Oryctolagus cuniculus: one gene and its partners. The protein of the gene in region 1 purifies or fractionates together with the protein of each later gene. This does not show direct contact. Links are inferred from orthologs where the notes say so. Each region holds a gene or a part of one and is shown in the gene's direction. Other genes may lie near its edges.

Region 1 (3,500 bases):
GGGGGGAGGAAGGGGGCGGACGAAAGGAGCCCGGGCGGGCGAGGGCGGCAGGGAACCGTGCAAAGCCAGGTCTTCAACCAGCGCCTTCAAGAGCGCCCAGACCCATGCCTGGTGACGCTCCAAGGGCTGCAGAAGTTTCTCACGAGCGAGAAGTTCGCAGCCTGGGAGCAAAGCCAGACTTCGGCGAGTTCTGAAAAACTTAGGGGCGCTCTTGTGCCCCCAGCCCGGGCCGCACACATCAAAGCGGAGGCCCAGCTCCAAATCAGTGGAGATTGGAGCGATAAGTGCGCGCGGGGCCCGCGGAAACTTGAGTCAAGCTCGTCTAACGGTTTCCCCTGAACCGCTAGGTGCCCTACCCCTCGGCGGGGTGCTGTGAGTCACCGCCCGTGACTCAGCGACCCCACCCTTCTCCCCTGGGCTTCCCTCGGCCGCCGCCTCGCAGCTCGGCCGTCCCAAGCTGGACTGAGCCCCTGAGTCCCTGGACGAGACCGGGCCGGAGCCCCCTAAAGAGGACACACTGAGAAGCGTCGCGCGCAGAGGAGCCCGCCCTTGCAAACAGGCGGTGCCCGAGGCTGCGCGAAGCCCCGCGCTGCGTCTCTGGCTGTGTGCGCCCCCACCCCGCGCTCCAATCTCGGGCGCTCTTTGTCTCTTTCTCCTCCGCGCCTGGCGATCTGCTGGATCCCTTACTCCCCCTGTTCATGCCCCTTGCCCGCAGGTCTCCCCATCCAGAGGCTCCCAAACCGCAGCAATCCAGGCGCCACGCACCGCTCCCGCCCGCGCGCCTCCTCCCACGCCCCCTGGGCCGGGTGCCCGGGACCCTTTTGGTCCAGATCCAAGCGGATCCCCACACCCACCACGGCGCAACCCCGCCTTCATTAACATCCTGGGATGAAAAAGAGTTCCGGCCATCCTGAGGAAAGCCCCAGAAAGTCTCAGCGTAGCCCAGCCCAGCCCACGAAGTAACGGGACGTGGCCCAGGCCAGAGCCTCAGACTGGGAAGGCTCCAGGGCGCCCCCGCCCCAAGCCCCGGCCCACCCTTCCCACTTCTCGCCGGGTCCCCATTGGCTGGCGCTCACGGCGGCTAGGATGGCAGTGGGAGGGGACCCTCTTTCCTAACCGGGTTATAAAAACAGCGCCCTCGACGGGGTCCCGTCCTCTGCCACTCTCGCTCCGAGGTCCCCGCGCCAGAGACGCAGCAGCGCTTCCACCGCCCACACCCACCGCGCCCTCGCTCTCTTCTCGGAGCCCGTCCGCGCCGCCGCAGCCGCCCAGCCCACCACCGCCCTTTGCAGCCATGTCCACTAGGTCCGTGTCCTCGTCCTCCTACCGCAGGATGTTCGGCGGCCCGGGCACCGCCAGCCGGCCGAGCTCCAGCCGGAGCTACGTGACCACGTCCACCCGCACCTACAGCCTGGGCAGCGCGCTGCGCCCCACCAACAGCCGCAGCCTCTTCTCCTCGGGGTCGGGGACCGCGTACGTCACGCGCTCCTCGGCGGGGCGCCTGCGGAGCAGTGTGCCCGGCGTGCGGCTGCTGCAGGACTCGGTGGATTTCTCCCTGGCCGACGCCATCAACACCGAGTTCAGGAACACCCGCACCAACGAGAAGGTGGAGCTGCAGGAGCTGAATGACCGCTTCGCCAACTACATCGACAAGGTGCGCTTCCTGGAACAGCAGAACAAGATCCTTCTGGCCGAGCTCGAGCAACTCAAGGGCCAGGGCAAGTCCCGCCTGGGGGACCTCTACGAGGAGGAGATGCGGGAGCTGCGCCGGCAGGTGGACCAGCTCACCAACGACAAGGCCCGCGTCGAGGTGGAGCGCGACAACCTGGCCGAAGACATCATGCGGCTCCGGGAGAAGTAAGGCTTGCGGGGCCCCGGGAGGGAGCTGGGACCGGGCCCCCCCGAGAGGGCTGCCACGCCCTTGGGGCGTTGGCCGGGGCGGCTGCAGCCTAGGGGACTGCAGGGGCGCGGCAATGTGGCTGCGGCGGCGCAGCCCCGCCCTGAACCCGAGCCGTGCGGTTAGCATTTCCCTTACCCATAACCCAAGTAGGTCCGTTTCAAGTTAAGAGATTTCTTAAAACGACCGCTTTGTGCGTGCTCGAAGGCCCTTGGGCACGACCGAAGCGACGGGCCCAAACTTTCAGAAAGTTTCCCGGCCCCTGCTGGCACGCTGCCAGTCCCCAGGCGGGAGGAGGAGGGGGAGGCTGCGGAGGAAGCAAGACAAAGGGATGGCCGAGGGTCCCCAGGGGCGGGGCGGCGGCTGCCACTGGCATCGCCTTTCCACGCCGGGCCGCCCCAGGTCCCGCGAAAACCCGCCGGGGAGAGTGGTGCCGAAGGCTGCGGTCGCTCGTCTGCTGCCCGCTGGGGTGGCGCCGTGGCTCGTGGCTCGCGGCTCGCGGCTCGGGACTCGCGACTCGCGGTCGGGCGACGTGGTGGCTGGGTGTGGCCGCCCCGCCCCCGGCGGTTTCCCGGTTCCTCTTTGGCTGACGAGCAATTGTTTTCAGGTTGCAGGAGGAGATGCTGCAGAGAGAGGAAGCCGAGAGCACCCTGCAGTCTTTCAGACAGGTTTGTGGACTCCCTCCCCCCCCCCCCCCAAGGCGGCCTCAGGGCCACACCCAGCCACCCCGCCGGCCCGCTCTCAAAGTTTCTAACTTTTCAGTCTATAAGCGCAAAACTTCACATCTGTGCGCAAAGCCCCCTAGCGGCGGCAAGACCACGGCTTAGAGCCTCTCAGTAAAAAAAACCCTTGAATGATTTCCTTAGTTGCTTAGGACATAAAGTCTTTTATACTTTTTTGTTTTGTTTTGTTTCAACAGTTATTTTCCCCCCAAGACATATTTTTTCATATCATTTTTGCAACACATTAACATTCGGATTGCGAACAGTTACAGTTTGGCTTAGATTCTGGTTTGCTAAAGCCAAGCTGGTTGACTTTTTACAAGGCCACAAAAAGCGCAGTTAGGCCCTGTGGCTTCCAATGTAAAATGTGTTGGAGGATGAGACGCTGGCATGCAGCCAGTAGGCTGCTTCCCTGCTCTGCAAGTCTATTGTGGCGTTCAAGTTAGGTGGAAGTTATCACTAGGCACAGCCATCTGCGCGCTCAGCTGAAGGGTGTTAGTGGTTCCCATGGGCTTCACCAGGAATGTAGATACAGACGTGCTGGCAAATGTGGTGGCCCTAGACAGACATAATAGGAGTCTTTGTGTTCCCAGAACAGCTTTGCTGCAGGCTACATTCTCATTGAGAATGTAGTGATGTAAGCACAGTTCTCATTGGACAGAAGTATTTGCCAACATCAGCTACCTACTCTCTGGCCCAGACTTGGGAAGGCTGCGATGTGAAACCTTGCACACGCTACAGTCATTCTTTGTGTTTTGAAAGACCTGTATGGGGGTCTTTGACACTATCTCCATCAACAAAAATAACTGCAGAGTGTTTTTTTTTTTTTTTTTTTTTGGCTCTAAAGTTAGATGGACTTAAAGGAATTTTAACTTACAATT
Region 2 (3,500 bases), on another chromosome or scaffold:
GAGGAGAGGCAGAGAGACAGTCTTCCATATGCTGGTTCACTCCCCAATTGGCTGCGCTGATCCAAAGCCAAGAGCTTCTTCCAGGTCTCCCACGTGGGTGCAGGGACCCAAGCACTTGGGCCATCGTCTACTGCTTTCCCAGGCCACAGCAGAGAGCTGGATGGGAAGAGGAGCAGCCGGGACTAGAACCGGCGCCCATATGGGATGCCTGTGCTTCAGGCCAGGGTGTTAACCCGCTGCGCCACAGCACCGGCCCCAAATAAATAAATCTTAAAAAAAGAAAAACAAAGTTTATTTGAAAGGGGGGAGGGAGGGAAAGAGATTTATCTGCTAGTTAACTTCTCAAATGCCTGCAACAGGCAGGGCTGTGCCAAGCTGAACAGGAGCCATAAGCCAGCAAGTGTGGAAGCTGGTCAGAAACAGAGGTGGGTCTTGATTGGAGACACGTGGATACGGGGTGCAGGAATGCCAAGTGGCGGCTTCACCTGCTGCACCAGAACGCCTGCACCTGTGCCGCCGTATTCTATAAGGGACTTGAGCAGCTGCAGATTTTAGTCTCACGCAGGAGCCGATCCCCCACAGACGCCAAAGGACAACTGTGCTCTGTATCTGGAAGGGAGAAAAACTTCCTGAAGGCTATGCTATGCTCAAATTTAGTCTGTTTTATGAGTGATTCACACTGAGGGTCTGAGTTACCTTGAGCAAGTGCATCTGTTCTAACCTCAGTTTCCTGATCTATAAAATGGGGATAACATGAAAACAGCCTCATAGAATGATGATGATTAAATGAGTTGAAACATGGAAAGCATGACACCTGCCTCCCGTGTCAGAGTACTGGCTTGAGTCCCAGCTGCTCTGCCTCTAATCCCGCTTCCTGCTAGTGTGCCTGGGAAAACAGCTGAAGGTGGAAGTGCTCAGGCCCCTGCACCCACGTGGGAGACCCAGACAGAGTTCCTGGCTTCGAACTTTGGCCTGGCCCAGCCCCAGATGTTGAGGCCTTTTGGGGGAATGAACCAGCAGATGCAAGATCTCTCTGTCTCTAACTCTACTTTTCAAATAAATACATACATGCATCTTTTTAAAATTTTTCCTAAGGTCCACGGTAGGTAAGATGCATTTGAAACTGAAGCCCACAACCATCCATGGGCCAGTGCAGGAACTGACTAAGCTGGCAGGCCACAGGCAGCTCCGTCAAGGATCTCCTATGTTGGAGTCACAGAATCTGAGTCGTGCCTTTGATGGGCCAGGAGATTGGCTACTTCTAACAAGATGCCGTTTTACAGGAATACGGGATGTGGCTTAATAGCACTTGGTGTGAAAAGGCCTTAAAGGATTTTTTTTTTTGAAGTTATTTATTTATTTGAGAGGGAGAGATGTCTTCCATACACTGGTTCACTCCCCAGATGGCTACACCAGCCAGAGCTGAGCTGAGCCAATCCAAAGCCAGAAGCCAGGAGCTTCCTCTGGGTCTCCCCCGTGGGTGCAGGGGCCCAAGCACTTGAGCCATCTTCCACTGCTTTCTCAGGCCATAGCAGAGAGCTGGATCAGAAAAGGAGCAGCCGGGACTTAAACCAGCACCCATATGCTGGCGCCGCAGGCAGAGGCTTAACCTGTAATGTCACAGCACTGGCCCCCAGCCGTAAGGATTTTAGTCGGACTCAGCACTTGGAAGAGCACGATGGGGCGGGGTGGGTGTTGTGGTACAGCGGGGTAAGCCCCTGCTTGGGATGCTGCATCCCATAGAGGAGTCCTGAGGTCACCCACCTCCTCCAGACTTCTTTTTTTTTTTTTTTCTTTTTTTCTTTCTTTTTTTTTCTTTTTTCTTTTTTTTTTTTTTTTTTTGACAGGCAGAGTGGGCAGTGAGAGAGAGAGACAGAGAGAAAGGTCTTCCTTTACTGTTGGTTCACCCTCCAATGGCCGCTGTGGCCAGTGCGCTGCGGCTGTCGCACTGCGCTGATCCGAAGCCAGGAACCAGGTGCTTCTCCTGGTCTCCCATGGGGTACAGGGCCCAAGCACTTGGGCCATCCTCCACTGCACTCCCGGGCCACAACAGAGAGCTGGCCTGGAAGAGGGGCAACCGGGACAGAATCCGGCGCCCCGACCGGGACTAGAACCCGGTGTGCCGGCGCTGCAGGTGGAGGATTAGCCTGGTGAGCCGAGGCGCCGCCCGCCCCGCCCTGCCCCACACTTCTAATCCAGTTTTTTGCTAGTGTACCTGGGAGGTAGCAGATGATGGCTTAGGTACTTGGGCCCCTGCCACCCATGTGGGAGACCTGGACGGAGCACCTGGAGAAGCCAGTGAGGAGGGCCTGGAGGGTGTGGCATGGATGGAACACTGGGGGAAAACCGTTAGAACTGTGTGAGTCCGGAAGGGAGAATGGAGCCCACACGCAGCTATGGCAAGGAAAGTTTTCTAACACAGGGTGTGGCTAGGACCGTGGGACACAGGGACGCCTGCCCTGGGAGTTTCCCGCCCTCAAGGATGGGTCAGGGACCACAGTGACCCGCGGGGGTGCCGTCAGGGTGGCGGGGCTGTGTGTGTGGGTGTGACGCCTGGGCTTCTGGCCTTGGACACCAGCACTCGGCTCCATGGCTGCCCTTTCACTCCCAACCATCTGTCTCTCTTGCAGGGCGTCGGGAGGAGAGGAGACCTCTGGATCCCTGAATGAGGCAGAGGCCTTGGACCCAGAAGCTGCGCTCTCTCTGGAGTGGTCCCTGAACCTAGAAGACATTCTCTACCTGGGGGACTCTGATGACTTGGCCGAGCCGCTCTCTCTGGAAGACACTGAGAAGCCAGCGGCGACCCTGTTCATCGAGGAGGCGCCAGATGAGGAGGAGCCTGCGGTGGCGCCCGCGGAGCCAGGGGAGACCTCGAGGCCCGTGCAGGCCGCGGACCAGGCAGAGGCGGTCGGGAGCGAGGAGAAGCCCAGCGCCGAGGAGAGCCGGGCAGTCGCACCGCCGCCGCCGCCCAGCACCGAGGAGAGCCTGAGCGCCGAGGACCTGGAGGTGCTGGAGCAGCGTTTCCAGCAGTGCGTGCAGGCCGTGGCCCGCCTGGAAGAGGAGCGGGACCAGCTCATCCACGAGCTGGTGCTGCTGCGAGAACCGGCCCTGCGGGAGGTGCAGCAAGTGCACGGGGACATCCTGGCTGCCTACAAGCTGCACGCGCAGGCCGAGCTGCAGCGGGACGGGCTCCGGGAGGAGGTGCGGCTGGTCAAGCAGAAGCTGTTCAAGGTGACCAAGGAGTGCGTGGCCTACCAGTACCAGCTGGAGTGCCGCCAGCAGGACGTGGCCCAGTTTGCCGACTGTCGGCAGGTGCTGACCACGCGGGCGGCCCAGCTCTCCGAGGAGCTGGCGCAGCTCCGGGACGCCTACCGGAAGCAGAAGGAGCAGTTGCGGCAACGACTCGAGGCACCCCCGAGCCAGAGCGATGGGCACTTCCTCCAGGAGAGCCGGCGGCTCTCTGCCCAGTTCGAAAGTCTCATGGCGGAAAGCCGCCAGGG
Region 3 (3,940 bases), on another chromosome or scaffold:
GGAGACCCCGCGGCGTGCAGGCCGCCACTTCCACACACCAGCGCGCACCTCCGCCTGCGCTCGCGCGCACCCGGCGCCTGGCACGGCGCCTGCGGAATGAATTCCCTGCGCGGAGCCAAGCACAGATCGTGGGAACATTCTGGTCTCGGCGGGGGGGGGGGGGGGGGGGGCCTCGGGTCGCACGTTTGCTAACGGGGCAGACTCCGCGCGTAACCACGTCTACGCAGTCAGAACCTCGGCGAGGCGACGACCACCACCACCCAACGCGGCAGCCGCAGAAACGGAAACCCGCGCCCGGCGCCCAACGCCCAGGACTCCGGCGTCCACTGGCGTCCATTGGCGACCATGGCCTGCACGCCTGGCCACCCTCGGGGTGCGGGGGGAGGTGGTCGGGGCGCAGCGCTGCCCGCCGCCGGGACCCCCGGCTTCTCCCTCGGGCCCGGCAAATCGCCGCCCGCGCCCGGACCCGGACCCCGACGCCGAGGGGCGCCCGCCCGCCGCCGCCGCCAACGGTCCGACCCCAGGCCCGGCTCTCACCTCTCCACCCACTCTCTCAGGAAGCGCATCTCCTCCGTGTGCAGGACGCTCGGGTCCTGCTTACATAACTTCACGAAGGCCCGGAGCTCGTTCACTTTGCGGGGATCCATGGTCGGCGGGCGGCGGCTGGCGGCCCCGATTCCAGGCCCGGGCGCTGGCTCAACGTGACCGCGTTAGTAGGGGGGCGGCTGCCGCGAGGCAGAACAGACTAGAACCTCCCCGGCCGCCGGCTCCGCCCACCCAACGGTCTCGTGACCCCGGGTCCTTCGCTAGCTCGCTGCTACCCGCTGCGCACTGCTCAGAACCTTCTAGAAGTGTGGGTGTTCGTGCTGTTGCCTGCCTCTCGTCGCACACACCTCTGAACCGGCTCCCAGGAGAGGCCGACTCCCTACGTGGGTGCCTTCAAAGAAGCGGGAGACGGCCCCTCCGGGCAGTCTGTCAGAATACGACCTTCTGGGGACGTGGGCATTAAGTGGAGCCTGACCCCAGGACCGAAGAACGGACCTTCCGGCTAGAGCGAAGGCCCCAGGAGGGGCGTGACGTCATCACAGCACGCCCGCAGGAACGGCGCCCGCCGGAAGGGGCGGGTCGGTTGGCTTGGTTTCCTGGCGACGCGGCCCTGCTGCAGGCGGCTTCCCGGAGCGCTGGGCCTCTTCTCCTGACGCGTGGGCTAGACCGTCATGCCTTGGCTGCTCTCAGCTCCCAAGCTGGTTCCCGCCATAGCCGGCGCTCGCGGCCTCTCAGGTCAGACCTCTCCTCCCAAAAGGTGTCCCCTGTAGTGCCGGCCCTGAGAAACTGGGGCGCGCTAGACGGGGATTCAGGTTGGCCGCAGGCGGGCCCTGGTGTCTGCGGACGCTTCTACTGGGGCCCGCCGCTCCTAACCCGCGCTGTGCGTTCTCTGCGGACGTCTGCGTTCCCGCCTGCGCCTGGGAGAGGGTGGGCTCGTGCGTTGTCGCTGCGGTGACTGCGAACGTGTGCCAGCCCCGAAAAGGGGGGCTGTCTCCCCGAGATGCTGCGGCCCACGCACGTTGAGTCAGTGGTCGCCTCTTGCTTAAGGCCAGGGAGCTCCAGTTTCGGTGAAGTCAACGTAAAATCCCGTTCGTCGTCGGGGTTGACTTCAGCACGCACAAGACCCAAGCCTCTCTGAACAGGCCCTCCCCACAAGAGCTACTCCCGGGCCGCCCTGTCTGTGGAGACGAGAGGAGTAAGGGGGACTGCCCTCTGCCAGGCGTGCTGTTTAACCTGGTGAGAGTGGAAGCTGCATCTTGCACCTTCCAGGCGGATCCGCCATGGGGTCGGATTTCAGGTTGGGAGGGGGCCGTAACAGGCATATGGTATTGGACAGCAAATCCGTGTCCCTTGGTGCGTGTGTATACGGAGTCCTGGAAAAACGGACCCACCTCCTCCTCACTCCGTAAGAATAAAAGCCAGTGTCCAGCGCGCCGGACTTGCTCTTGCGTTCTGTAGATCGGCCGCGGGAAGCTGCCTGCGTGGAATTCAGCGAAAAGGCACCCGTGCGATTGAGCGCTCACCGCAGAGGCCACACCTGCAGCTGTCTGTGCCTCTGACTTGGGGAGTTCAGGAGGCTTTGTCCAGCACCCGAGTAATTGAGACTTAGGACTAGATACTGGTTATACACGCCCAAATATTTGAAATAAATTAGCAAGTTTAACCTCTTTTATTAAAAGATTTTTTTTTTTATTTATTCGAAAGAGAGGGAGAGACGGAGGCATCTTCCATCTGCTGGTTTACTCCCCAGAGAGCCACAACAGCCAGGGCTAGGCCGGGCTGGACCAGGACAGAGCCAGGAGCCAAGAGCCAGGAGCTTCTTCCAGGTCTCCCACATAGATAGCAGGGGCCCAGGCATTTGGGCTATCGTCTGCTGGTTTTCCCAGACCATTAACAGGGAGCTGGATTGGAAATGGAGCAACTGGAAGGTGAGCCGGTGCCCCATGGGATGTCAATGTCACAGGTGGCTTTACCCGCTAGACCATAACGCCAGCCCCTAGTTTAACCTCTTATGTCATAAAATATATATCAGCTTTTTGAACTCAATGAATGATCTTGAATTGTCATAAGTCCAGTAAGGGCAGAGGTGCTTGTTTGACCAGTGAGGAGCTGAAACAGGATCACAATAAGTCAGGAGTTCTTCTTCTTCTTCTCCCTTTTTTTTTTTTTTTTTTTTTTTGATTTTAGACAGGCAGAGTGGACAGTCAGAGACAGACAGAGAGAAAGGTCTTCCTTTGCCGTTGGTTCACCCTCCAATGGCCGCCGCGGCCGGTGCACCGCGCTGATTCGAAGGCAGGAGCCAGGTGCTTCTCCTGGTCTCCCATGGGGTGCAGGGCCCAAGCACTTGGGCCATCCTCCACTGTACTCCCTGGCCACAGCGGAGAGCTGGCCTGGAAGAGGGGCAACCGGGACAGAATCCGGCGCCCCGACCGGGACTAGAACCCAGTGTGCCGGGACTAGAACCCGGTGTGCCGGTGCCGCAAGGCGGAGGATTAGCCTGGTGAGCCGCGGTGCCGGCCATCTTTTTTTTTAAGAAATTATATAATCGAGGCAGAGAGTGAGAACCCTAGCATACACAGCCGCATACTCTAGTTCACTCCCCAAATGCCTGCACAGGCCTAACTCGGCCATGGTTACAGCATGTAGCTGGGAACTCAGTCCAGGTCTCGCACCTGCGTGGCAGGGACCCAGCTACTTGGGCCGTCAGCTGCTGCCTTCCAGAGTCTGCATCAAAGGCATGTGGAATAGGAGGCAGAAGAATCACTGTGGGACGTGGGCATCTTGACCACTAGGCCAAATGCCCATCCCTTGCTTGTCATTTAGAAAACCTCAAGTCCATGTCTGTCTGGCTACCTTTCAAATTAACAATTAAAAAAATCAGAAAGTTAATCTGAAGTTTGAAAGACTTCTAGCAAGCAGACTAGAGGAAAGGAGCTATCCTGGTGGAGGGAACATCTGCAGAGGCACAGAACTGAAACAGAACGGCTGATCTATGGGTTGCAGCCATTGGTGTGACTGGAGATTTTTGTTTTTAAAATATGTGTTACACCACAAGGACCCACGTGTGGGCAGTACTGTGTTTCTTAATGTCCATAACAGTGTAATTCTCAGTCTCTGAGAAGATGTATTTGGCAATATGTATTTGACCATGGATTCTCTTTTCTGTGGTGAGTCTTTTTTTTTTTTTTTTTTTTTTTTTGACAGGCAGAGTGGACAGTGAGAGAGAGAGACAGAGAGAAAGGTCTTCCTTTTTGCCGTTGGTTCACCCTCCAATGGCCGCCATGGCTGGCACGCTGCGCCAGCGCACCGCGCTGATCTGATGGCAGGAGTCAGGTGCTTATCCTGGTCTCCCATGGGGTGCAGGGCCCAAGGACTTGGACCATCCTCCCTTACA
Region 4 (3,942 bases), on another chromosome or scaffold:
CTTCATAAATTTATTTTCTGTTTCCAGTCTGGTAAACATTGACGTTGGCCCCACCAGGCTATGGGTGCCTGCTCCTTGCCTGGGACCCATGACCTCTTGGGGTGTCTAAGGGCCCAGAAGAGAAACTTTCCACCCCGTGCCCACCCCACCACTCAGGGGACACCCCCAAGGACCCTAGGGATCTCGGATATTCGGCATCCCTGTCCCAGAGACCCCTCCCCCCCCACCTGCTTAGCCTTTATTCCACTTACCCCAGGTCCCACTGTGCCCCCGTGAGCGCCCTGCCGCCTGGACTGCGGGATCCATGGAGGCCGTTTGGAGAGTTACGTCAGCCCATGGAAGGGAAATATTAGAACACAGGCTGACCCACCACCCACGCTCAGCAAACTTGGACTTCCTGGGAGGGAGGGAAGAGCTGCCTCTGGGACTTCTGGATCGCATCTTTACGCCACCAGGCGGTGCTCTCTGCCTAAAAATCCCTGGAGCCGGGAGAAGATGGGGGCCCGTCCCTGAGAACTGGGGTATAGGAACCAGATGTAGGAAGGAGAGGGTGAAACAGAGAAAGCATTCCCAAGTCCGTTCCACGCGTTCCCTTTGTCTGGTCTCTCCCGTTCCTGACAGGAGCTAGGCAATAGTGTGTGCGTGTGTGTGCGTGCGCGTGTGTGTCCCCCAGTATCAGATATCTGATCCTTTTGTCCTCCAAGAAACCCCATCTCTCTCCAGGGTCAGCTTTTGCTATTTATGAAAAGTGTGGCCACGCCCTTTCAGAGGCCCATGGAGCTTCGCCTTCTATGGATGAAGAAAGTAAATCTTAGAGGAATTCGGGAACTACTGCTCTTTTGGGAGTGCTGAGTAACGGGATGCTCGCACCCCGGCCTCGGCGGCCCCTGCGGGCTCAGTTCTGTGCCTCATCTGCTTTTCTGGGCGTTGTGATCCTTCCTCACCGCGCCGCACCCGTCTGAGAGCCGCCACCGTCGCATAGGGTTCCTTGCGGCAGGGTGTCTCCCGTGGTCCACCCTCCGGCGCCCCGAGCCCGCAGGGAGACAGCCCCGTGCCGAGGCTGAACTCTAAGGGGTTAAAGCCTGGACCCGCCCCTTTCCCGCCTGGCTGGCGGGAGTATGAATAGCCTCGCTCCCACTCCCGACTCTCAGTCGCTCGGGCTTCTCCCCGCCCCGCCCCGTCATTGTCCCCTCCGGTCGCCTTTTTTCTCTTCCGTCCTAAAGGCTCCGAGGGCCGCTCCCTTCTCCCGGTGCCCCGCGTCCGTCCACCCTCGGTGGGTCAGACGAGCAGGATGGAGGGCTGCATGGGAGAGGAGTCTTTTCAGATGTGGGAGCTCAACCGGCGCCTGGAGGCCTATCTGGCTCGGGTCAAGGCGCTCGAAGAGCAGAATGAGCTGCTCAGCGCGGAGCTCGGGGGTCTCCGGGCGCAGGCTGGGGACTCCTCCTGGCGGGCCCGCGCCGACGATGAACTGGCAGCCCTGAGGGCCCTCGTGGACCAGCGCTGGCGGGAGAAGCACGCGGCCGAGGTGGCGCGCGACAACCTGGCCGAAGAGCTGGAGGGTGTGGCCGGCCGATGCCAGCAGCTGCGGCTGGCCCGGGAGCGCACGGCCGAGGAGGCAGCCCGCAGCCGGCGCGCCGTCGAGGCGGAGAAGTGCGCCCGGGGCTGGCTGACCAACCAGGCGGCCGAGCTGGAGCGCGAGCTGGAGGCTCTGCGCGCCGCGCACGAGGAGGAGCGCGCCAGTTTGAACGCGCAGGCTGCCTGCGCCCCCCGGGGCCCCGCGCCGCCCCGCGCGCCCCCCGCGCCCGCGCCCGAGGTGGAGGAGCTGGCCCAGCGGCTGGGCGAGGCGTGGCGCGGGGCCGTGCGCGGCTACCAGGAGCGCGTGGCGCACATGGAGACATCGCTGGGCCAGGCGCGCGAGCGGCTGGGCCGCGCGGTGCAGGGCGCCCGCGAGAGCCGCCTGGAGCTGCAGCAGCTGCAGGCGGAGCGCGGCGGCCTCCAGGAGCGCAGGGCGGCGTTGGAGCAGAGGTTGGAGGGCCGCTGGCAGGAGCGGCTGCGTGCCACTGAGAACTTCCAGGTGAGAAGGTGGCAGACCTGCATGAGACCAGGCTCCAGGAAGCCCCCAGGAGGCTCAGACTCCTTCGGGAAAGGAGTAGGGCATGAGTGACTGCCAAGTCGGGAGCCGAGCCACTTCTCAGAAAACTCGAACCTGGGGACAGCCCGGCTCAGTGGGCTGTCAGAGGCCTCTGCATATGCTTGCCTGGATAGGCAGGCAGGCCAGGACCCCTGGCAGCAGCCCCTTCCCTCCCCGAGGGCCCCTGCCTAGGTTGTGTGGTCGCTCAGCAGACGCCGGGCACACCCCCTCCGTGCGTCACCCCTGATTTGGCTCTCCAGGGTCCTTTGTACCCTCCTCTCCCTGCAGGAGGGCCGAGGGGCCTGGATCAGGGCCCAGCAGCCCCTCTCCCCTGTCTGGGCTCCTTGGCTCCTGGGAGCACATTCCGGAGGCCTGGGACAGCTGCTCCCCCTCACCCGGCACAGATGTGACCAGCAGCTGAGCAAACAGCCTGTTGCGTGGGCCAGACAGAGGTCTCGCCATGGCCACCCCCCCCCCCACCTCCTCTCAGAGGAGAAAGATTCCAGAACTTGTGGGAAGTGGAGGGGTGGGGGCCTGCTGACGGCCCGGCCATGCGGCTTGCAGTCCTGCAGGCTCCAGGCCTCCTGATTAATCGTTTTTCCTTCTGCCTCCACTTTTTTCTCCTCTTCTCTGTAACCCATCTCCTCTCCTCCCTCACCTCCCCCTTCCTGTGGGAGCTGAGTTCCCAGCATGTGCTACCATTTAATCAGCCTCCTCAGAGGAGGAGCCGGGCTGGGGGAGAGGGGGCCGGGAGAGGGGCTCGGCTCTTCTCCACCAGCACAGCTGGGGTTCCCTGGGTGGGGGTGGGGGTGGGGGTGGGAGTGGGGTGGGGGAGGGGGACGGGGGTCTGCTGTAGCTTCAGCAAACCAGAGAGCTGGAGACGCTGGGGCTGCTGCGGGCGGGGGCCACTGCGGGGCGGGGGCTGTAGGTGAGTGGCCCGAGGCCCCCACCATTCACTGACTCCTCTGGCTTGCTCCGCAGCTGGCCGTGGAGGCCCTGGAGCAGGAGAAGCAGGGCCTGCAGAGCCAGATCGCCCAGGTCCTGGAAGGTCGGCAGCAGCTGGCACACCTCAAGATGTCTCTCAGCCTGGAGGTGGCCACCTACAGGTACGGGTGGCCCCGGACCCACCCAGGCCCCCGGATGCCCACGCGCTTACCAGGGCAGGGGCCCCTTTGCTGAGGGGACCCAGAGGCATGAGTGGGGGCAGCTCTGCCCTCCCTGGGTTCTGTGATTCGAGGCCGGTCACTCGTGTACCAGCACATGTCCCACCTGAGCCCACCTGCTGCTCGCTGGGTCCAGGACCAGAGAAGTGGCCAGTGGCCAGCAAAGTGCCGCAAGCAGAGTGAGATGGCCTCTGGAGACGGGGCTGGGCACCCAGGGGGCATCTGCATGGGCCCTCGCCTAGGGGGGGGCGATGCCAGTCTCTGCGTGTGTGCGCACACCTAGGGAGCCTGTTCTTGGGCAGCCTCAGTTAGGAGACTTGCCCCCTCTCCGGGCTGCGGCCTTGCCTGGGAGCTAGGAGCTGCGCTAGGTGACTTCCAAGACCTTTCCTAGCCTGAACTTCATGGAGCCGGACTCCTCTCCAGCCCAGTGCCACTGGCCCTGCCCAGCCCTTTGCTGACCGCATTTCCTGTTGCCCCAGGGAAAACTGAAACCCAGGACCTGCTGGCCTAGCGTCCGTCTGAGCCCCCGGAAGGGGTTTTGCGCCTTGTGAAGGGTGGGGGCCCGGCTGTTAGGGGCACCCCCCTGCCAAGGCCTCTGCTCCCAGAGTCCATGGCAAAATAAAGGCAGGGGTGCTGGGGCATGTCCGG
Region 5 (3,935 bases), on another chromosome or scaffold:
CAGGCTATGAAACGAGGCAGTGCAAAGGCCCTGAGGTGTGTGCGTGGCAGGCCTCTGCTCAAGGAAGAGCAAGAAGGCCAGTTTGATTGGCACACACTGAGAGGGGGGATGTGGCGGGCAATGAGGTCACAGATGAGACAGAGGTCACATTCCACAGGCCTTTGTAGGCCACAGTAAGGACTTTAGCTTTTTTTTTTTTTTCCTTGATTTTGATGGAGGGTTTTGAATGAGGAAGCAGCTTGACTTATTGCCTTATGGGGAGGAAGAATCCACAAGGGGGCAAGAGAAGAGCAGGGTAGGGTGAGAAGGCTGCTGCAGGAGTCGAATGGTGCTAGGTCAGGGGCTGTTGGTGGAGGCTTCTAGAAGCAGCTGCACACTGAGGAGGGCCTGCCTAGAAGCTGCAGGACTCGCTGAATGCGATGAAGGCTGCATGACCCCAGGTTCCTGTTCGTGGGGAAATGATGGCGCTCCCACTTGCCTGGGGAACGGTGAGATGCCAGGGATAGTCAGGAGTTGATTTCCTGGCGTCTGTGGACACGTGCCTGGGGATGCCAAGGGGCCGCCAGCTCAGCAGCTGGAGGGGACGCGGGGACGCGGGGACAGCAGCTCTGAGGTGCTCTCTGTGGAGAGAAGAGTCCTTCCTCCCTGTATGCGGCAGGTACTTACCGAGCCCCTACTGTGTGTGTCCGGCGTCGTGCTGGGTGCGGGGTCTGGACAGAGATGGTCACTCACTCCGTGGAGCATCGTGGCCAGTTAATTAGTGCACTGGTGCCCAAGACACCTCTCTGGCGACTGTAAACATACAGAGCCAACGTTGCAGGCACGGAGAGGTTCTCTGACTCAGCGATTTGGAAGCGCTTTGATTTTTCGGAAACAAAAGAACTATATTTAGATTTGGACACATGACAGACCTACCCAATAAAATGTCTGAGGACTACCTCAAGATGAATCAGAAGAGACGGTCTCGACCAAATTAATGTTTACGAAGAGTCAGGTTGGTGTCATGGAAAAGCTTACAGGGCTGGAAGGCAGAAGGGCTGCGCCTCGGTCTGCGTGGGCCCTGCTGGGCCGCGTGCGACCTTCACTCAGGTTTCACGCACATGGATGTTGGATTTGAGGTGAGAGTTCTGAAAAGTTTTTTATTTTTTTTAAATTTTTTTTATTTTTGACAGGCAGAGTGGACAGTGAGAGAGAGAGACAGAGAGAAAGGTCTTCCTTTTGCCGTTGGTTCACCCTCCAATGGCCGCCATGGCCAGCATGCTGCGGCCAGCGCACTGCGCTGATCTGAAGGCAGGAGCCAGGTGCTTCTCCTGGTCTCCCATGTGGGTGCAGGGCCCAAGCACTTGAGCCATCCTCCACTGCACTCCCGGGCCACAGCAGAGAGCTGGCCTGGAAGAGGGGCAACCGGGACAGAATCCGGTGCCCTGACCGGGACTAGAACCCGGTGTGCTGGCGCCGCAAGGCGGAGGATTAGCCTAGTGAGCCGCGGCGCCGGCCCAAAAGTTTTCAAACTGTGAGTTGTTCCCCTGCCGTTCAGTACTGCTTTTACTGGCCTCTCTCTCTTATTGTGAAAGTCCAAATCCCCAAGGGCATCCGTCTCTTGACTCGTTTTTCAAAGCAAGAGAACCTTCTTCTTTCTGCAAATGGAAATTGCTTTCTTGTTTTTTATTTTCCTGGTTGTAAAAAGGGCACATGGCTCATGCAGAAAATACAAATGGGGGAAAGTGCAAAGGTAGCAAAAGTCTCTAATACCACTCGCATGGTAGCGTCAGTGTCCCTGTGCCCGCAGCACGTCAGATGGCAGGTGTCTAAACACTTGTTGAGTGAGTGATTACTGTTGATCTCTTGCAAACATCCTTTTTGGTTCTCAGATAAAACAAAACCATTTATCTGAGACTGAAACTGCCAAGATGTTATCACATCTCTTAGATGACGTTGCACAATGGCACCTGATTTCTGACACCTATGGAATGTGGGGGAACAATAACATGATATTCCCCACTCTCTTGGCCATAATGTCAAGGGCGGCTTGGTTTGAGCAATATCAAGAAAGGCTTCAAAACAGTCCCAGGCTCCACGGGAGTGGCTCCTGCAGCAGTGGGAGGCCGGCTCTGCCTCCCAAATCCTCCCTCCCACACCTGGGCCCTCTTCCTTCCCCAGGGCACCTGAACCCAACTCAACACTTCCTACTGGCAAAGCAAGATGGCTCCCTGATTCCCTCTAAAATGAATTAAAGCCAGATGCTGTCTGCAGCCCATGCTTCTTCAGTCTCCAAATGGAATGTGTTAATACTGACAAACCTGACTGTTCACTCTGTTGAAGAACTGTCAAATCTGGTACCACTGGACTCTTACCCTACAGAGCCATCAGTTCCCCATAACCACCTCACCCCTATGGTCTGACACCCCAAATCCCGTTCTGCTTTGGTCATGTACCTGACTCCCACCCCTAGCTCATTATGTGACGCATTCAGGGTTCTCCCGTCAAGCACCAGTCACTGGGGACACGAGAGGACGCAGGAGCTTAGGGGAAGACTTTTAACCAACAAATGGTGGTGCGGTGTGGCAGGTGCAGCACACAGGCATGGACACAGCGCAGGGGAGCTGACTGCGGGGGTCGAGGCTGAGCTACAGGAAGAGTGAGTTCACCACGCGATGGAGGCGCAAACCATGCAAACCGCGGGGGTGGCAGAACTGTACAGGTGTCCTGCCCTCCGGCCCCCTCAGGCCAGCAACTCCTCCTGGCCTACACGGGTCTGTCCAGGAGCCTCCGGCCCGGTCCTCTCGTTGTTTCCTTCTGTCAATAACCGCAGGTCCACGTGTGCCCAGAGGAGGCTGACTAATCCCACCCTCCTCCAGTTACTTCAGCTAAGGCCGCCCTCCCACTCCAGGATGGCCGGCCATCTGACCCTGGTGGAAGACGTAGCACTCCACACTCAGCATTTTCTTTCTTTTTTTTTCTGGACAGGCAGAGTTAGAGAGAGAGAGAGAGAGAGAGGTCTTCCTTTACCGTTGGTTCAGCCCCCAAGAGGCTGCTATGGCCGGCACGCTGCGCCAATCCGAAGCCAGGAGTCAGGTGCTTCCTCCTGGTCTCCCATGAGGGTGCAGAGCCCAAGCACTTGGGCCATCCTCCACTGCCTTCCTGGGCCACAGCAGAGAGCTGGACTGGAAAAGGAGCAACTGGGACAGAACCCGGCGCCCCAACCGGGACTAGAACCCAGGTGCCAGCGCCACAGGCAGAGGATTAGCCTAGTGAGCCGCGGTGCCCTTTCTTTCTTTAAAGATTTATCTTTTTTTACTTGAGAGTCAGAGCTACACAGAGAGGAGTGGGGGGGGGAGGGAAAGAGAGAGGTTTTCCATCCGCTGGTTCACTCCCCAAATGGCCGCAACGGCTGGAACTGTGCCGATCCGAAGCCAGGAGCCAGGAGCTTCTTCTGGGTCTTCTGGGTCTCCCATGCAGATGCAGGGGCCCAAGGACTTGGGCCATCTTCTACTGCTTTCCCAGGCCATAGCAGAGAGCTGGATCAGAAGTGGAGCAGCCAGGACTCGAACCAGCGCCCATATGGGATGCCGGCACTTCAGGCCAGGGCGCCAGCCCCCGCAGTCATATTTTCAAGTAGCTACATTTTGCAGTGAACTTTCCCTGCCATATGTCGTTTTTGACTCTAATGACAATCCACTTGAGGAAAAAAAAACCACAAATAATGTGTATAACTGATTTAGAAAAAATTTATTAAGCGCCTATAGTCACAGTTCCCTCCATCTGACATTCAGTGAGCACCACTGTGTGCCCAGCACTGGGCTTGGCGCCGGCGAGTGGTGCCAAGAGACAATGAACATACAAGCTAGGAGGCGGCCTGCATAAAGTCATCGCAGCGAGTTTCCGGCCCGAGCAGCGTTCAAAGTACAGCAGCTCCTTGGAGAAAGGCGCGCCAA
Region 6 (4,135 bases), on another chromosome or scaffold:
CTGGCCACCTGTGCATCTGCCTAACCCCCATCCAACCAGCCCACCCTCATCGCTGGGCTTCCCAAGCTGCTCCCACAAACTTGACCTGAAAGGGGGGGGGTTTGACCCAACAGGGCTGACTCTTAGTCACAGGACCTGCCTGGGAGGTCTGGGGGGGGGGGTGACACACCTCCCTTCCCAGCGCCTTCCCCCAGGCCTTGCAGACAGGTCACTTTGGTCCCAGGAAGCAGAGTTTCTGGATTCCCAGCTGAAAGGTGACTGGTCCCATCCCCTTGGCCGCCCTTGTGGCCAACACTCTTGAGGCCCTACAGGCAGGCACCTGCTGCATTGGCCCCCTGCCCTGACAGGTCTGTTAGGCAGCCTGCATCTGTGAGAGGGAAGAAATGGGAATTTGTGTGGCTGGGTGAGGGAAGAACCACAGAAGCAAGCCTGGGAAGCAGAGCAGTATTTACATCTCAAAAGTCTTAGTTTCAGGTGGGGCCAGTGCTGTGGCGCAGCAGCTGAGCCTTCACCTGCAGCGCCGCATCCCATTTGGGCACCGGTTGTGTCCCGACTGCTCCTCTTCTGATCCAGCTCTCTGCTATGACCTGGGAAAGCAGTGGAGGATGGCCCAAGTCCTTGGGACCCTGCACCCACGTGGGAGACCTGGAAGGAACTCCTGGCTTCGAAGTAGTTCAACTCTGGCTGTTGCAGCCATTTGGGGAGTGAACCAGCAGAGGGAAGACCTCTCTCTTTATCCAAAACTCTGCCTGTAAAATAAATAAACACATTTTTAAAAAAAGAGCCTTGGTCTCCTTCTATAACCTTGTTGAGTGGGTCCCAGCCTTTTCCCAGGGGCAGCTTAGAGAAATCCCTGCCCTGCATTGGGGGGGTGTGTGTGTGTGTGTGTGGCTATTAGGTCCAATAATACTGCTGATGAAGTTCTGGGAGGAATTTCAGGAATTCCACACTCTGGAAGCCCTTCCCCCAGACGTGTCCCAGAAGGGGAGGGGAGGGGAGAGGAGAAAGAGGGCTATACCCGTATCCATAGAAACCCCAGTCTGAAAGCAGGTGGGTTCAGCTCTTGATGGAGATGCCCGCCTACTCTGTCAGGTGCATTCTTTTCATCAGACTTGGCCAGCACGCTTGCTGCTATTCTGTCCCATGGCTGAAGTTCTTGTGCTAAAACAAGGACCCCTGATCAACCATTCCTGGTGATGGTGAGGAAGGGCCTGGGGCGTCAGGCTCAGCCTGCTGGGCTCACAGGGCTGGGGGCGTCCATGTGTCTTTTTGAGCTGCAGTCAGCACTTGGTGACTGACTGCCGTCGCTAGTGGACGAGCCGGCCAGCCGGCCCTGGACAGCTAGGGACGCTCATGCAGGAGGCTGTGGTTGGTGTAGGGCTGCCTTCTGGGGGTCACGCATGGCAGGGCAGCAGGGTACCCTAGCAGCCAGCTGGTTCCGGCTGGTGGTGCCCACTGGGCAGCCTAGATGCCTCCTGGGATAGAGGGCTCTGTGTGTCCTCCTCTGTCCTGTGCTGGGCAACCCCTGCTGATGACCAGGGACCTGCTCTGCTGAGTCACAGCCAGGCCCAAGCCGGAGAGGGGCCTCGGACAGGACCCCAGCCCATTCCTTTCAGGAGGTACAGATGCTGAGGCCTGCTCTGGGGGTCTCCGGTGCCCTGGGGGCAATGAGGGGACAGACTGAGAGCGGTAGACCATGTCAAAGGGCAGCGGGGAGAGGGGCAAGCAGGCACGGGGCCCTGGCAGGGAGACTCGCGAGAGGCGGCCCCGGCGGTGGGGGGCGGCACCCGAAGAGTGCAGGCTCCGCCCCCAGGAGTCCACGTCGGGCGGGGCTTCCGCGTGCCCTACAAAAGCCACGCGCCACTGGCGCCACCGCCGCCGCCTCCTCCGGTGCTCCCTCGGTTGCGCAGCTGCTCGTCGTTCTCCGGCTGCGATGGCGTCGCTCACCGTGAAGGCCTACCTCCTGGGCAAAGAGGAGGCGGCGCGCGAGATCCGCCGCTTTAGCTTCTGCTTCAGCCCGGAGCCGGAGGCCGAGGCCGAAGCAGCGGCCGGCCCCGGGCCCTGCGAGCGGCTGTTGGCCCGGGTGGCCGCTCTGTTCCCGGCGCTGCGGCCCGGCGGCTTCCAGGCGCACTACCGCGGTGAGCGGGCCGGGGGGTGGCCGGGGTCCGGGGCTGCCCTTTCCTAGTCGGTGCCGGCTGCGTCGGAAGGGATGCTGTGCTGGTCGCGCTCTGGGTGAGCGGTGACCTGCGCGTACCCCACTTGCACCTCGGGTGCCAGCCCAGTGACCCAGGCCCTGTCCCTCAGGGGCCGAGGCGATCAGGCCCCGCGGGCTGGGGACTTTGGGTCGTTAGATGCTTCCTGTTCCCCGCCATAATGTTGCAGATCTCGCCAAGGACGCGCCGGGGCGTCCTCTCTGGCCCTGGGCTGAGAAGGTGGTCAGGCGGGCACTCGGGTTACACTGACATCTTGCTGCTGCCGGGGCTGGGCCCGCCGGCGCCAGGTTTGCGTTCAGCGAGCCCTGAAAGTGGGTGGTGGGCGTGGGCGGCTGGGGGACGCAGGGCCCTTGAGCCCGGGGTAGGCCGCAGGTCGCCCAGGGACAAGGCAGTGGGGAGACGGCCGATGTCGAAACGTTCTCCACAAACTCAGAGTGGGGACAAGCCCGGAGCCACCGCTCTTTCTGGCTGCGCTGCTCAGACCGGTAGCTGCTGCTGGGGGTGGGGTCCCGGGACAGCAGTGTGGGAGGGAGGTCCTCGGCCAAGGCCCGCCCCTGGGAGGGAGCAGGGCTGGGACCGCCCTCAGTAGCTTGCCCAGCATTTTTTTTTTTTTTAATTTCCTGGTGACAATTTTATTGAGCTGTAATTCACATACCATAAAATTTACTCATTTAAAGTATATAATTCAAGGGTTTAAAATTTTATTTCATTTTGAAAGGGCAGAGAGACACATACACACACACCCCAACCTACCATCTGCTGGTTCACTCCCCAATGGCTACAGCTGCCAGCCCCAGCCAGGCCAGGAGCCTGAACTCCATCAGTGTCTCCCAGGAGGGTAGCAGCAACCCAGGCACTTGAACCATCCTTTGCTGCCTCCTCCAGTGCACATTAGCAGGAAACGGGATCAGAAGTGGAGTGGCCTGGACTCCAACCAGGCACTTTCATATGGGCTGCCAGTGTTCCGGGCTGCCAGTTAGCCGCTGCAGAAATGCCTGCCCCGATGCAGTGGTCTTTAACACATTCACCAGTTGGAACTTCTGAGCAGACTTGGGGCTGGAGAGCGGGGCCAGGCGCTGGCAGTCAGCATGAGAACCCCTTCCTCTCCACTGGAACCCCATGCCTTTTACCTGTCTCCCTCAGCTCCTGCAACGCTGAGCTGCTTTCTCTCCTGGGCGTCCTCTTCTGGACAGTGGTGGAGAGGGGGTTGTACAGTTTAGCTTTGTGTCTGGCTTCTTTCCTTAGGGAAATGCGTTCAGGTTCATCAGAGGTGTAGGCTGCATCTGTATTCGTTTCTTTTGTGGATATGCCATATCGTGTTTGTGTCATTAGTTGATGGACTTTTGGGTTGTTTCGCAAAAGTGCCACTCTTGCTCTGAGGGTAGATGTTGCCCTCTGGTGCCCAAGTCCAGGCCCCGCCTGCAGCCTGTGCACGGTGCGGTCTGGTCTGGTCTGTGTGGCAATGCTTTAAAATCACGGAAGCCAACATAGAAGGACTCAGCCTTTTTTCTTCGTTGGAGAAAGCAGCAGGCCTCTGGGCTCATCTCCACTTAAACATTGCAGACAGCCCAGAGCCTTTGGCGGGCTGGGCCTCTGAGGGACAGGGCACTGTTATTGTCCGTGTAGTGTACGCGGAAACTTTGCCTTTTAGGTGTGACCGTGGCCCAGGTTCAGGCCCAGGCGGGCACACTTCCTGTCCAGTGAATGGGCAGGCTCCCTTCTTATCCCCGATCTGTCCAGCCCCACCCCTAAAGAAGTGGCCTTGGTGGGCATCAGGCCTAGTGGTTAGTTCACCCATTAAGATACCTGGGGCCCGTGTTGGATCCCAGCTCCCGACTCCAGCTTCCTGCCAGGACAGATGCTGGCAGGGGGTAGGTGAAAGTTCAAGTAATTGGGTCCTCACCTCCTACATGGGAGCCCTG

The links.
Region 2: the proteins of VIM (region 1) and SYNC purify together in Homo sapiens (affinity purification with mass spectrometry; 3 studies listed by BioGRID and IntAct, counting the BioPlex papers as one, with this or other methods). This does not show direct contact. The link is inferred for Oryctolagus cuniculus from reciprocal best matches to the Homo sapiens genes VIM and SYNC.
Region 3: the proteins of VIM (region 1) and XPNPEP3 purify together in Homo sapiens (affinity purification with mass spectrometry; 3 studies listed by BioGRID and IntAct, with this or other methods). This does not show direct contact. The link is inferred for Oryctolagus cuniculus from reciprocal best matches to the Homo sapiens genes VIM and XPNPEP3.
Region 4: the proteins of VIM (region 1) and NES purify together in Homo sapiens (affinity purification with mass spectrometry; 3 studies listed by BioGRID and IntAct, counting the BioPlex papers as one, with this or other methods). This does not show direct contact. The link is inferred for Oryctolagus cuniculus from reciprocal best matches to the Homo sapiens genes VIM and NES.
Region 5: the proteins of VIM (region 1) and GAN purify together in Homo sapiens (affinity purification with mass spectrometry; 3 studies listed by BioGRID and IntAct, counting the BioPlex papers as one, with this or other methods). This does not show direct contact. The link is inferred for Oryctolagus cuniculus from reciprocal best matches to the Homo sapiens genes VIM and GAN.
Region 6: the proteins of VIM (region 1) and SQSTM1 purify together in Homo sapiens (affinity purification with western blotting; 3 studies listed by BioGRID and IntAct, with this or other methods). This does not show direct contact. The link is inferred for Oryctolagus cuniculus from reciprocal best matches to the Homo sapiens genes VIM and SQSTM1.

What each region holds. Positions count from the first base shown.
Region 1 is NC_091444.1:43,369,833-43,373,332, forward strand, and holds part of VIM (vimentin), read left to right. Parts: 5' UTR 1-1,294; coding exon 1,295-1,857; intron 1,858-2,504; coding exon 2,505-2,565; intron 2,566-3,500. UniProt on the Homo sapiens protein: Vimentins are class-III intermediate filaments found in various non-epithelial cells, especially mesenchymal cells. Vimentin is attached to the nucleus, endoplasmic reticulum, and mitochondria, either laterally or terminally.
Region 2 is NC_091438.1:139,843,896-139,847,395, forward strand, and holds part of SYNC (syncoilin), read left to right. Parts: intron 1-2,630; coding exon 2,631-3,500.
Region 3 is NC_091442.1:116,931,534-116,935,473, forward strand, and holds the start of XPNPEP3 (xaa-Pro aminopeptidase 3), read left to right. Parts: upstream 1-1,140; 5' UTR 1,141-1,217; coding exon 1,218-1,281; intron 1,282-3,940. Other genes in the region: ST13 (hsc70-interacting protein), read right to left, coding at 538-647. UniProt on the Homo sapiens protein: Catalyzes the removal of a penultimate prolyl residue from the N-termini of peptides, such as Leu-Pro-Ala. Also shows low activity towards peptides with Ala or Ser at the P1 position.
Region 4 is NC_091438.1:42,101,868-42,105,809, forward strand, and holds the start of NES (nestin), read left to right. Parts: upstream 1-1,142; 5' UTR 1,143-1,291; coding exon 1,292-2,074; intron 2,075-3,112; coding exon 3,113-3,237; intron 3,238-3,942. UniProt on the Homo sapiens protein: Required for brain and eye development.
Region 5 is NC_091449.1:63,462,506-63,466,440, forward strand, and holds the start of GAN (gigaxonin), read left to right. Parts: upstream 1-1,135; 5' UTR 1,136-3,935. UniProt on the Homo sapiens protein: Probable cytoskeletal component that directly or indirectly plays an important role in neurofilament architecture.
Region 6 is NC_091437.1:67,652,959-67,657,093, reverse strand, and holds the start of SQSTM1 (sequestosome-1), read left to right. Parts: upstream 1-1,335; 5' UTR 1,336-1,696; coding exon 1,697-2,138; intron 2,139-4,135. UniProt on the Homo sapiens protein: Molecular adapter required for selective macroautophagy (aggrephagy) by acting as a bridge between polyubiquitinated proteins and autophagosomes.